Saccharomyces cerevisiae S288C: one gene and its partners. Changing the gene in region 1 together with any one later gene gives a genetic interaction. Each region holds a gene or a part of one and is shown in the gene's direction. Other genes may lie near its edges.

Evidence for each region.
Region 2: mutations in SIT1 (region 1) and SUN4 together harm fitness more than expected from each alone (negative genetic interaction), as found in Saccharomyces cerevisiae (2 studies listed by BioGRID).
Region 3: mutations in SIT1 (region 1) and SSF2 together harm fitness more than expected from each alone (negative genetic interaction), as found in Saccharomyces cerevisiae (2 studies listed by BioGRID).

Annotation. Positions count from the first base shown.
Region 1 is NC_001137.3:25,997-30,062, forward strand, and holds SIT1 (siderophore transporter), read left to right. Parts: upstream 1-1,660; coding exon 1,661-3,547; downstream 3,548-4,066. Other genes in the region: YEL067C (uncharacterized protein), read right to left, coding at 193-780; HPA3 (D-amino-acid N-acetyltransferase), read left to right, coding at 725-1,210; AVT2 (Avt2p), read right to left, coding at 3,801-4,066. UniProt on the Saccharomyces cerevisiae protein: Involved in the transport of siderophore ferrioxamine B and so has a role in iron homeostasis.
Region 2 is NC_001146.8:499,744-503,360, forward strand, and holds SUN4 (putative glucosidase SUN4), read left to right. Parts: upstream 1-1,771; coding exon 1,772-3,034; downstream 3,035-3,617. Other genes in the region: 60S ribosomal protein uL6 RPL9B, read left to right, coding at 1-513. UniProt on the Saccharomyces cerevisiae protein: Involved in the remodeling of the cell wall during the various phases of yeast culture development and under various environmental conditions and plays a role in septation.
Region 3 is NC_001136.10:1,085,808-1,089,540, forward strand, and holds SSF2 (rRNA-binding ribosome biosynthesis protein), read left to right. Parts: upstream 1-1,773; coding exon 1,774-3,135; downstream 3,136-3,733. Other genes in the region: TFIIH/NER complex subunit TFB1, read left to right, coding at 1-1,186; PIB1 (phosphatidylinositol-3-phosphate-binding ubiquitin-protein ligase), read right to left, coding at 3,412-3,733. UniProt on the Saccharomyces cerevisiae protein: Required for biogenesis of the 60S ribosomal subunit.

The DNA of each region.
Region 1 (4,066 bases):
TTTGGCTTTATCCTTTCAATGTGCCTGATTTTGGCTTTCTCGTATCTTTCGCCTGATAATATGAAAAAGTATATACTGTGAAAAAACAACCGTTGGAGAGCTACGACCGACTGAAAAGATAAAAATGCTTGAGTTTTTCAGGTTAGCATGCCGTCTAGTAGAATTAAACCATTGTAGTTCTTCACTTTTGTATTAAACGTAGGATTGAGGCGGTGGCTGCTTTTGGTTTACTATGCGTTGTAAGGGGATGGGGAAATGGAACGTCCAGAAGAAAGTTATAGTTCCCGTTTGCATAACAGCAGAGACAAAAATGGTCGAGCACTTCCGTGTTGACTGTATATCTGTGCATGGTTGACTAATTGTTGTTTGATGGCCTGAAGTTCTTGTCACACTCTGCAAATTATCCCGACATTCAGACGTACACGTACAAAACACGAATGCTACTCTAGCATATCCAATCGATCGCACTGAAGCGATCAGCTGATGATCAGGCGGTACATTGCATACTCTGCGTAAGGCCTTTTTCACCAATTGACCGCATCGTATATTTCCCAATCCGGTTATTAAATCGTTATCAGGCGGAAACCTTCGCGAACAGTATACTGGAGAGTGTTGCGACAAGATATTTAAAAGCGGAAAACGGGCATATAAAATAGATGAGTGCAGACTAATGAAAAAGACCCCAGACCCATCTCCACCTTTTGCAAGCACGAAGAACGTAGGCATGTCAAACGAAGAACCGGAAAAAATGGTTAACGATCGAATTGTGGTGAAGGCCATCGAGCCAAAAGATGAGGAAGCCTGGAACAAACTGTGGAAGGAGTATCAGGGTTTCCAAAAAACGGTTATGCCTCCGGAAGTAGCCACCACTACCTTCGCAAGGTTTATAGACCCTACGGTCAAACTATGGGGTGCTCTAGCCTTTGACACCGAGACCGGCGATGCAATTGGCTTTGCACACTACCTGAACCATTTGACGTCGTGGCATGTCGAAGAAGTTGTCTACATGAATGACTTATATGTCACTGAACGCGCAAGAGTCAAAGGCGTAGGTAGAAAGCTCATAGAATTTGTATACAGCCGTGCCGATGAGCTCGGTACGCCTGCAGTGTACTGGGTTACAGACCATTACAATCACCGCGCACAGTTGCTGTACACCAAAGTGGCTTACAAGACAGATAAGGTTCTTTACAAGAGAAACGGATACTGAAACCGCTGTGTAATGTAGACTACTGTGTATAGAGATAACTCTAGCTTCTATAGGCTCACTTGCGAAGCTTTTTTCCCACTTTTTCCCAGTGAAATAGTTTCTTATTGGCTTTTCATAGTTTGTTCTCCGATTTAATCGCAAGCGCCGTACGGCGCAGGCACAGAATGACTTGCAGCTTAATCCAGGTGCATTTTAAGAAACTTATCTGCTGGGAAGACCCCGAAGTTCATCGTTTACAATGTGCCGTAAAGAACACATTTGAGGGTGCAATCTGGTTCGTCTTTTGCCATAATTAGTAGTGCTCATCCGTGATCCTTTAATTTACTTTTGTGATGCGATGATTTGCAGATACTATATAAGCAATGGACACCGTCCATCACCGATGAGGCTAGAACATCGTAGTGCTTTGTAAAAGAACTGTTAAAGACCCAGTACGAAAATTTTTCCATAATGGACCCTGGTATTGCTAATCATACCCTCCCCGAGGAATTTGAAGAGGTTGTCGTTCCCGAGATGCTGGAAAAGGAAGTAGGAGCCAAGGTCGATGTCAAGCCAACGCTAACCACATCTTCTCCAGCACCTTCTTACATTGAATTGATAGATCCAGGTGTGCATAACATCGAGATTTACGCAGAAATGTACAACCGCCCGATCTACCGTGTCGCATTATTCTTCTCACTTTTCCTCATTGCCTATGCTTACGGATTAGATGGTAATATCCGTTACACTTTCCAGGCGTACGCGACTTCGTCGTACTCCCAGCACTCGCTGCTATCGACCGTCAACTGTATTAAGACGGTTATTGCGGCTGTAGGCCAGATCTTCTTTGCCAGATTATCAGATATCTTCGGCAGATTTTCCATTATGATTGTCAGTATCATTTTTTATAGCATGGGGACCATCATTGAGTCGCAAGCGGTGAATATTACAAGATTTGCAGTTGGTGGTTGTTTTTACCAATTGGGTCTTACCGGTATTATTCTAATTTTGGAAGTTATTGCTTCTGACTTTTCCAACTTGAACTGGAGGTTGTTAGCCTTATTCATTCCAGCTTTACCATTTATCATCAACACCTGGATTAGCGGGAACGTAACAAGTGCCATAGATGCTAATTGGAAATGGGGTATTGGTATGTGGGCTTTTATACTGCCGCTAGCTTGTATTCCGCTTGGAATTTGTATGTTGCACATGAGGTATTTAGCAAGAAAGCATGCTAAAGATAGATTGAAGCCCGAGTTCGAAGCGCTAAACAAATTGAAGTGGAAGTCCTTTTGTATAGACATCGCATTTTGGAAATTGGATATCATTGGAATGTTATTAATTACTGTATTTTTCGGGTGTGTATTGGTTCCATTCACCTTAGCGGGTGGTTTGAAAGAGGAATGGAAAACTGCGCATATTATTGTCCCTGAAGTCATTGGTTGGGTTGTAGTGTTACCACTGTACATGCTATGGGAAATAAAGTACTCGAGACATCCATTGACACCTTGGGACTTGATTCAAGATAGAGGTATCTTTTTCGCTCTACTCATCGCATTCTTTATCAATTTTAACTGGTATATGCAAGGTGATTACATGTATACTGTACTAGTCGTTGCAGTTCATGAATCCATAAAGTCCGCTACAAGAATTACCTCCTTGTATTCATTTGTTTCTGTTATCGTTGGTACAATCCTCGGGTTCATACTGATTAAAGTTAGAAGGACTAAGCCTTTTATTATATTTGGCATTTCTTGTTGGATCGTCTCATTTGGTTTGCTGGTCCATTACCGTGGTGACTCCGGTGCTCATTCCGGTATCATTGGCTCTTTGTGTCTATTAGGTTTCGGTGCAGGTTCATTTACCTATGTGACTCAAGCTTCCATCCAAGCATCCGCTAAAACTCATGCAAGAATGGCGGTAGTAACCTCATTATACCTTGCCACTTATAATATTGGTTCTGCATTTGGTAGTTCTGTTAGCGGAGCTGTCTGGACTAATATCCTACCCAAAGAAATTTCAAAAAGAATTTCCGATCCAACCTTAGCTGCACAAGCGTACGGTTCTCCATTTACATTCATTACAACTTATACCTGGGGAACACCAGAAAGAATAGCTTTAGTCATGTCTTACCGCTATGTTCAAAAGATTTTATGTATCATAGGTTTGGTATTCTGCTTTCCTTTGTTAGGTTGCGCATTCATGTTGAGAAATCATAAACTAACAGATTCTATTGCTCTTGAAGGCAATGATCATTTGGAAAGTAAAAACACCTTTGAAATTGAGGAAAAGGAAGAAAGTTTTTTGAAAAATAAATTCTTTACGCACTTTACAAGCAGTAAAGATAGGAAAGATTAATATTATCTCACCCAAATAATTTCATACATGCACATATAGCTACTACATAGTCAAGAACATATCATAACATTTGGTATAACAGTCTTTATATCAGTCTTTGCATGGCTTTGCATCTGATGCTGGCTCTACCGACTTCTCGGCGATAAAATACCAAAAGAATTTGACGTATATACTATCCAAAGTGGATAAATATTTGAGTTCCAATGAGGTAACTAAACTAGTTTTTTAAAACCCAGCAGAAAGAAAAAATACCCTATATTTGGCAGTGCTGTCCATCAGAACCATTAACTGCATCAATAATAGTTTGGGTGCTGCTGATTATCATAATCATGAAACCAAAGCATATACAAAGATAGAAAGGAAGCCTTTCCTTCCAACTCTTCTTCTTACTAGTTAACAACAAATTTGTGTATGGCGGCAAAATGTAAGCCATAGTCGATGCCGTAGTGGCCCCAATCAGTTCAAATAATGCTCCTAAATTACATGTAGTTAATGATATACCCATGGTGATGAAGACTA
Region 2 (3,617 bases), on another chromosome or scaffold:
TCCAGAATCGTCAAGGTTGTCGGTCCAAGAGGTACTTTGACCAAGAACTTGAAGCATATTGATGTTACCTTCACCAAGGTCAACAACCAATTGATCAAGGTTGCTGTTCACAACGGTGACAGAAAGCACGTTGCCGCTTTGAGAACCGTTAAATCTTTGGTTGACAACATGATCACTGGTGTCACCAAGGGTTACAAGTACAAGATGAGATACGTCTACGCGCATTTCCCAATCAACGTCAACATTGTTGAAAAGGATGGTGCTAAATTCATTGAAGTCAGAAACTTTTTGGGTGACAAGAAGATCAGAAACGTCCCAGTTAGAGATGGTGTTACTATCGAATTCTCTACTAACGTAAAGGACGAAATCGTCTTATCTGGTAACTCTGTTGAAGACGTTTCCCAAAATGCCGCTGACTTGCAACAAATCTGTCGTGTTAGAAACAAGGATATCCGTAAGTTTTTGGATGGTATCTACGTTTCCCACAAGGGTTTCATTGTCGAAGACATGTAAATGGAACAAAAAAGTGTCTTTGCGCTTAGAGGCGCTTAAATATGTACATTATTCCTACTTTTTTATTTAGTATTATGTAAAGACTGAGGTTCTTTGTCATTGGATGTGCCTCACTTCCAATGATGAATTGACAGGCTCTCTAGGGAATGCTGTCAAGGGGAAACGTTGCTAGTGCTCATTGAAATAAAGAGCCACTTTACGTTTTCTCAAATTGCTTTTGTTTTTTCTTCTATTGATGCTAATTGCATATTTTTTGGTAAAGGAAAGAAACACTAAAAAATAAATATTCTCTAATACGTTACAAATGATTTTCTTTTTTCTTGAGTCTTGCAATCATACCCGTAGCTTTCTCTTGTTCTTCGGCTATTGCTTTAAATCAAAATGATATCTGGGTGTACCAGCAAGTTTCGAAATGAAAACATAAAAATATGGTTACCCGACATATATGCTGGTTTAATACTGGTTAAACTGAACAGAAGCATCTCTTTTCTCTATTAGGACGTAAACGACAACGTTTTTTTTTATAGGAAAAGTAAACAAAGCGCAGTGGAAGGCAGCGAAAGGAACCTGCACAGCGCGAAGTTTATAAACAATGACTTTTCCAGATCTCGGATTTTTTTCTCGCACGTTCCCTTCAGCATGAATCTTATTTAAACACTTACTTTCGAGAAAAATAACAGTAGTTTCCCCAAAAAAAATAGTACTATCACACGTATTTTAAATATAATCGCCGTATTATTCACTATATTCAATTTCAACTTTATAGCAAGAAAAGGAAAGATCGATTCGTTCTTTTACCATTATCCAACTACTCTACACTCCTTTTTCGCCGAAGAAAAGAACTCTTCCAACTAATTTTCACTCCTTTAAGCATTTTTTTTTTTTACTTTTTTACAAGTCGTATGTTTAATTTAATGATAAGACCTTTCATGTTACTATATTTTGAGTTTGCAAATTATTCCACTGATTACGAAATTGCTGTGCTTTTTTCGCTTCGGTGCATCGTCATTTTTCGAGAATAAAGCAAATTTTTACATGCCCGTTATTTTTCCGTGCACAACTTCTTTTTGGCTTTTTTGGCCGTCGGATTTACGGCGCGAAAATAAGTTTCTGACTTCTCGAGATATAGCCATTGTAGAAACTAAAACAATATTGATTGATTCAATTAGCACTAATCTTAGAAAATTTGCAATCCTACTCTTTTCGCAATGATTTTATTTACTAACCCATCCCAAATTTATTTTAGTAATTTGATAAAATGAAACTGTCCGCCACCACTCTTACCGCGGCTTCATTGATCGGTTATAGCACAATCGTTTCCGCTTTGCCGTATGCGGCTGATATTGACACAGGATGTACTACTACTGCTCATGGTTCACACCAGCATAAGAGGGCCGTTGCAGTTACATACGTTTACGAAACAGTCACTGTCGATAAAAATGGTCAGACCGTCACTCCAACCTCAACTGAAGCCTCTTCTACAGTTGCTTCCACTACTACTCTGATTTCCGAATCTTCGGTCACCAAGTCTTCTTCCAAAGTTGCTTCTTCTTCTGAGAGTACTGAACAAATCGCTACCACCTCGTCTTCGGCTCAAACAACTCTGACATCTTCAGAAACTTCTACTAGCGAATCCTCTGTGCCTATTTCCACATCTGGGTCAGCTTCCACATCTTCAGCAGCTTCCAGTGCAACTGGAAGTATCTACGGTGATTTGGCTGACTTTTCAGGTCCATATGAAAAATTTGAAGACGGTACCATTCCTTGCGGCCAATTTCCATCTGGTCAAGGTGTTATCCCCATCAGCTGGTTAGATGAAGGTGGCTGGTCTGGTGTTGAAAATACTGACACTTCTACGGGTGGCTCTTGTAAAGAAGGGTCTTACTGCTCATACGCTTGCCAACCAGGTATGTCCAAGACACAATGGCCTTCTGACCAACCATCTGACGGCAGATCCATTGGTGGTTTGCTATGTAAGGACGGCTACCTGTACCGTTCAAATACAGATACTGACTATTTATGCGAATGGGGCGTTGATGCCGCTTACGTCGTCTCTGAATTGAGCAACGATGTTGCTATCTGCAGGACCGATTACCCGGGTACCGAAAACATGGTGATTCCTACATATGTGCAAGCAGGTGACTCTTTACCCTTGACTGTCGTTGATCAGGACACCTACTACACTTGGCAAGGATTGAAGACATCCGCGCAATACTACGTTAACAATGCCGGTATTTCTGTCGAAGATGCTTGTGTTTGGGGTTCTTCAAGTTCAGGCGTCGGTAATTGGGCTCCATTGAACTTTGGCGCTGGTTCTTCTGATGGTGTCGCCTACCTTTCTTTGATTCCCAACCCAAACAACGGTAACGCATTGAATTTCAATGTCAAAATTGTCGCCGCTGATGACTCTTCTACAGTCAACGGTGAATGTATCTATGAAAACGGTAGCTTCAGCGGTGGCTCTGACGGTTGTACCGTTTCCGTTACTGCTGGCAAAGCTAAGTTTGTTCTATACAACTAAACTTAGGCGCATCAACAGTTGAGTAAGTTGATTGTATTATTACCCCATTCTTTTCTGCCCGTCCATTTTATTGTCTGTTTAACATACACTAAAACCCACGCCGGATTAATATCAATTTTTTTTTACTTTGTTTCTATTTATCATTCTTCCAGACATAAATTATTTTGTAATATTAAAGACATTTGAAAACCTACATACATCGCACACCTCTTCTTTCATTGTCCTAAAAACCACCCAAAAAAAAAAAAAAGACATCAAATCTCTTTTTTTTTTTTTTGTAGTTCTGTTGCCGTATGCTATCTACTCCTAAGGCTTTTTTCTACTACGGCAATCTATTCACAATGTGCAATTAGGCTAAATGCTAAAAAAAGAAAAAAAAATCCGGAGCCCCTCGATGACTCCTGTTTCCGTTTTATACTGTCCAGCGCAGACCGCACTTCCTACGTATACTTCTTACGGGGAAGGGAGCATACACGAAAACAAAAGGACCCGTAATGACTCGGAAACTCCATAGATCGGTAAATACCGGCTCGTTACCCGTCCTCCATCGGAAAATCTCTCACCGATTTGTTCCGGTATCGGA
Region 3 (3,733 bases), on another chromosome or scaffold:
TGTTAATTTGTCAAGAGAAAAAATTTTGAATATTTTTGAGAACTATCCAATTGTAAAGAAAGCTTACACTGATAATGTGCCCAAAAATTTCAAAGAACCAGAGTTCTGGGCAAGGTTCTTCTCTTCGAAGTTATTCAGAAAATTAAGGGGTGAAAAGATCATGCAAAATGATAGAGGTGACGTAATCATTGACAGGTACTTGACATTGGATCAAGAGTTCGACAGAAAAGATGATGACATGCTATTGCATCCTGTGAAAAAAATTATAGATTTAGATGGTAACATACAGGACGACCCAGTTGTACGAGGCAACAGGCCCGACTTCACTATGCAGCCAGGTGTGGATATTAATGGTAATAGCGATGGTACCGTGGACATCTTAAAGGGTATGAATAGATTGAGTGAAAAAATGATTATGGCTTTGAAGAATGAGTATTCAAGGACAAATCTACAGAACAAATCTAATATTACAAACGATGAGGAAGATGAAGATAATGATGAAAGAAATGAACTGAAAATCGATGACTTAAACGAAAGCTACAAGACAAACTATGCAATCATACATCTGAAAAGGAACGCACATGAAAAGACAACCGACAACGATGCGAAAAGCTCGGCAGACTCGATAAAGAATGCAGATTTGAAGGTTTCTAATCAACAAATGTTACAACAGTTGTCATTGGTCATGGATAATTTAATTAATAAGCTAGACTTGAACCAAGTAGTTCCTAACAACGAAGTCAGCAACAAGATCAATAAAAGAGTCATAACTGCAATCAAGATTAACGCCAAACAGGCTAAGCATAACAATGTTAATTCAGCACTCGGCTCTTTTGTCGACAACACTTCTCAAGCAAATGAATTAGAGGTGAAAAGTACCCTACCAATAGACCTATTAGAAAGTTGTAGAATGCTACACACAACGTGCTGTGAATTTCTAAAGCACTTTTATATTCATTTTCAGAGCGGTGAACAAAAGCAAGCCAGTACCGTCAAAAAACTTTATAATCATTTGAAGGACTGTATTGAAAAGCTGAATGAGCTATTTCAAGACGTCCTTAATGGTGATGGTGAATCTATGTCAAACACATGTACCGCCTATTTGAAGCCAGTTTTGAACTCCATTACTTTGGCTACTCATAAGTACGATGAGTACTTCAACGAATATAACAACAATTCGAACTAGAAATATAAAGGCTCTCCAGTTGTTACCACTTTTTACATTCATATTTTTCATCTATTTACTGCATGTTACATATTACATAAAACTTAATTGTGTGTATTCTTCCTTTTTGGTCTTTAGTCTCTATGTAAACAATAGAAAAACGCGGGACTCGATTAACGCTGTGCTGCACTGATGCAGCCGTGCGTGTAAATAAAACATTTAACGTGAAAACGCGCGCGAATGGCTTGTGAAACAAACAAGAAACAAACGGGAAATATTTCAGCATGTGATGTGGCTGAAAATTAGCAAACGATTCGTCAAAATAAATCAGTAATGGTGCTTTAGTTCTATTACAGCTTGCTAATGGTTCAGTAATATTTTCAAAAATTTTGCCAAACAGACCTAAGCACTTGCAATACTCCAGACTGTTAGTTCAGTCATTATCTATCATCTTGGACGATTTTGCAATTTTTTAGTGTAGATGCATCTCATCGACGGGCTTGTATGAATGATATTAAATAGGCAAAATAAACTAGTCTAGCTAATATTCGACTAAATTGCAGCTGCTAGGTCACCATCCCGCACATACCTTAGATATTTTGGAACTAATGGCTAAAAGAAGGCAGAAAAAGAGAACGCATGCGCAGATCACACCCGAGCAGGAACGAGATATTCCTAAATCCATGGTAATCAGAGTGGGACAAACTTCATTGGCTAACCATTCTCTAAACCAATTAGTAAAGGATTTTCGCCAGATCATGCAACCGCATACGGCCGTAAAACTAAAAGAGCGCAAGTCCAATAAACTGAAGGATTTTGTTGTTATGTGTGGCCCATTAGGTGTTACGCATCTTTTCATGTTCACTCAATCTGAAAAAACAGGAAATGTCTCGCTAAAGATAGCTAGAACTCCACAAGGTCCTACTGTTACTTTTCAAGTATTGGACTATTCACTGGGTAGAGATATCAAAAAATTTTTGAAGAGACCTAAATCGTTAAATAATGATGATGTATTAAATCCTCCATTGCTAGTGTTAAATGGGTTTTCCACATCGAAAAGATCTGATGAAGACGATCAGGATGTAAACGTGGAGAAGGTTATTGTTTCCATGTTCCAGAATATTTTCCCACCTCTGAATCCTGCAAGAACTTCGTTGAATTCTATCAAACGTATATTTATGATCAATAAAGACAGAGAAACGGGGGAAATTTCTATGCGCCACTATTTTATTGACATTCGAGAAGTAGAGATCTCTAGAAATCTAAAAAGGCTTTATAAAGCCAAAAATAATCTAAGTAAAACAGTGCCGAATTTGCATCGAAAAGAAGATATTTCTTCTTTGATATTAGATCATGACTTAGGCGCCTATACATCAGAATCTGAAATTGAAGATGACGCTATTGTGAGAGTGGTTGATAATCAGGACGTGAAGGCAAAACATTCTCAAACTTCGCTGTCGCAAAAAACACCCGTTAAAATGACAGATAACGAAGAACGTGAAAAAGGAATTGAAGAAGAAGATGTGGAAATGGAGGAACCTAAGCCTTCAGAAAATTCGCAACCAACTCCACGTAAGAAGGCTATCAAACTGACTGAATTAGGACCAAGATTAACTCTAAAACTGGTCAAAATAGAAGATGGTATTTGTTCAGGTAAAGTATTACATCATGAATTTGTTCAAAAATCAAGCGAAGAAATCAAAGCCTTAGAAAAGAGACACGCTGCAAAAATGAGGCTGAAGGAACAAAGAAGAAAGGAACAAGAAGAAAACATTGCTAAAAAAAAGGCTGTTAAAGATGCTAAAAAGCAACGTAAATTGGAAAGAAGAAAAGCTAGAGCAGAAGAACAGGGTGAAGGTCAAGGGAAAGATGGTGCAATGAGCGATGATGGATCTTCATCGAGTGAAGATGAGCATTATAGTGATGTACCAGAGGATTTGGATAGTGACTTATTCAGTGAAGTAGAATAATGCACGATATGTATATATATCCTCCGTACGTAACATCACTATCCATATAGTAGCCATGACTCCGATGGACTTAAAGAACCAGGAAGTGTCTGTTTATTCATAGGTGAGGGAACACCTCAAAGTAAATATTAATGAATATATAAGATCATAATTAAACAAATATATAGAAATCTTTTACAATTAAAGAAAAAAATAAAAGAAAAGGGAAGTTAAAACTTCGATTATTAACAGCTGAAAAATTAAACTTTGTAATGAAAAGCAAATTGGGAGTTATCGTTAAAATACGGCATCATGGAAAGGACAAAAGTTCCTTTTAACAAAAGCATGTCCATTTCCCTTCTGGGCTGCAGTCATTTGCGCCCTTTTGTGAAACCAGTTCTTAATACACTTATAATGGAAAACACACAAGCATTCTAGTCTCCCAACTTTCTCACCGGGTTCCATATTCTCAAAACAAATCGGGCACTCCTTAATTGCATTATCTGTTGTATTAGGCGATATCTTGTACACTAACATTCTATTTTGAAAGGCAGGGCTTTCTTTTACGGAGTCATCTGCTGCATCTGACGTATTCGTATGTTGTTGGGCATTTTCAGCT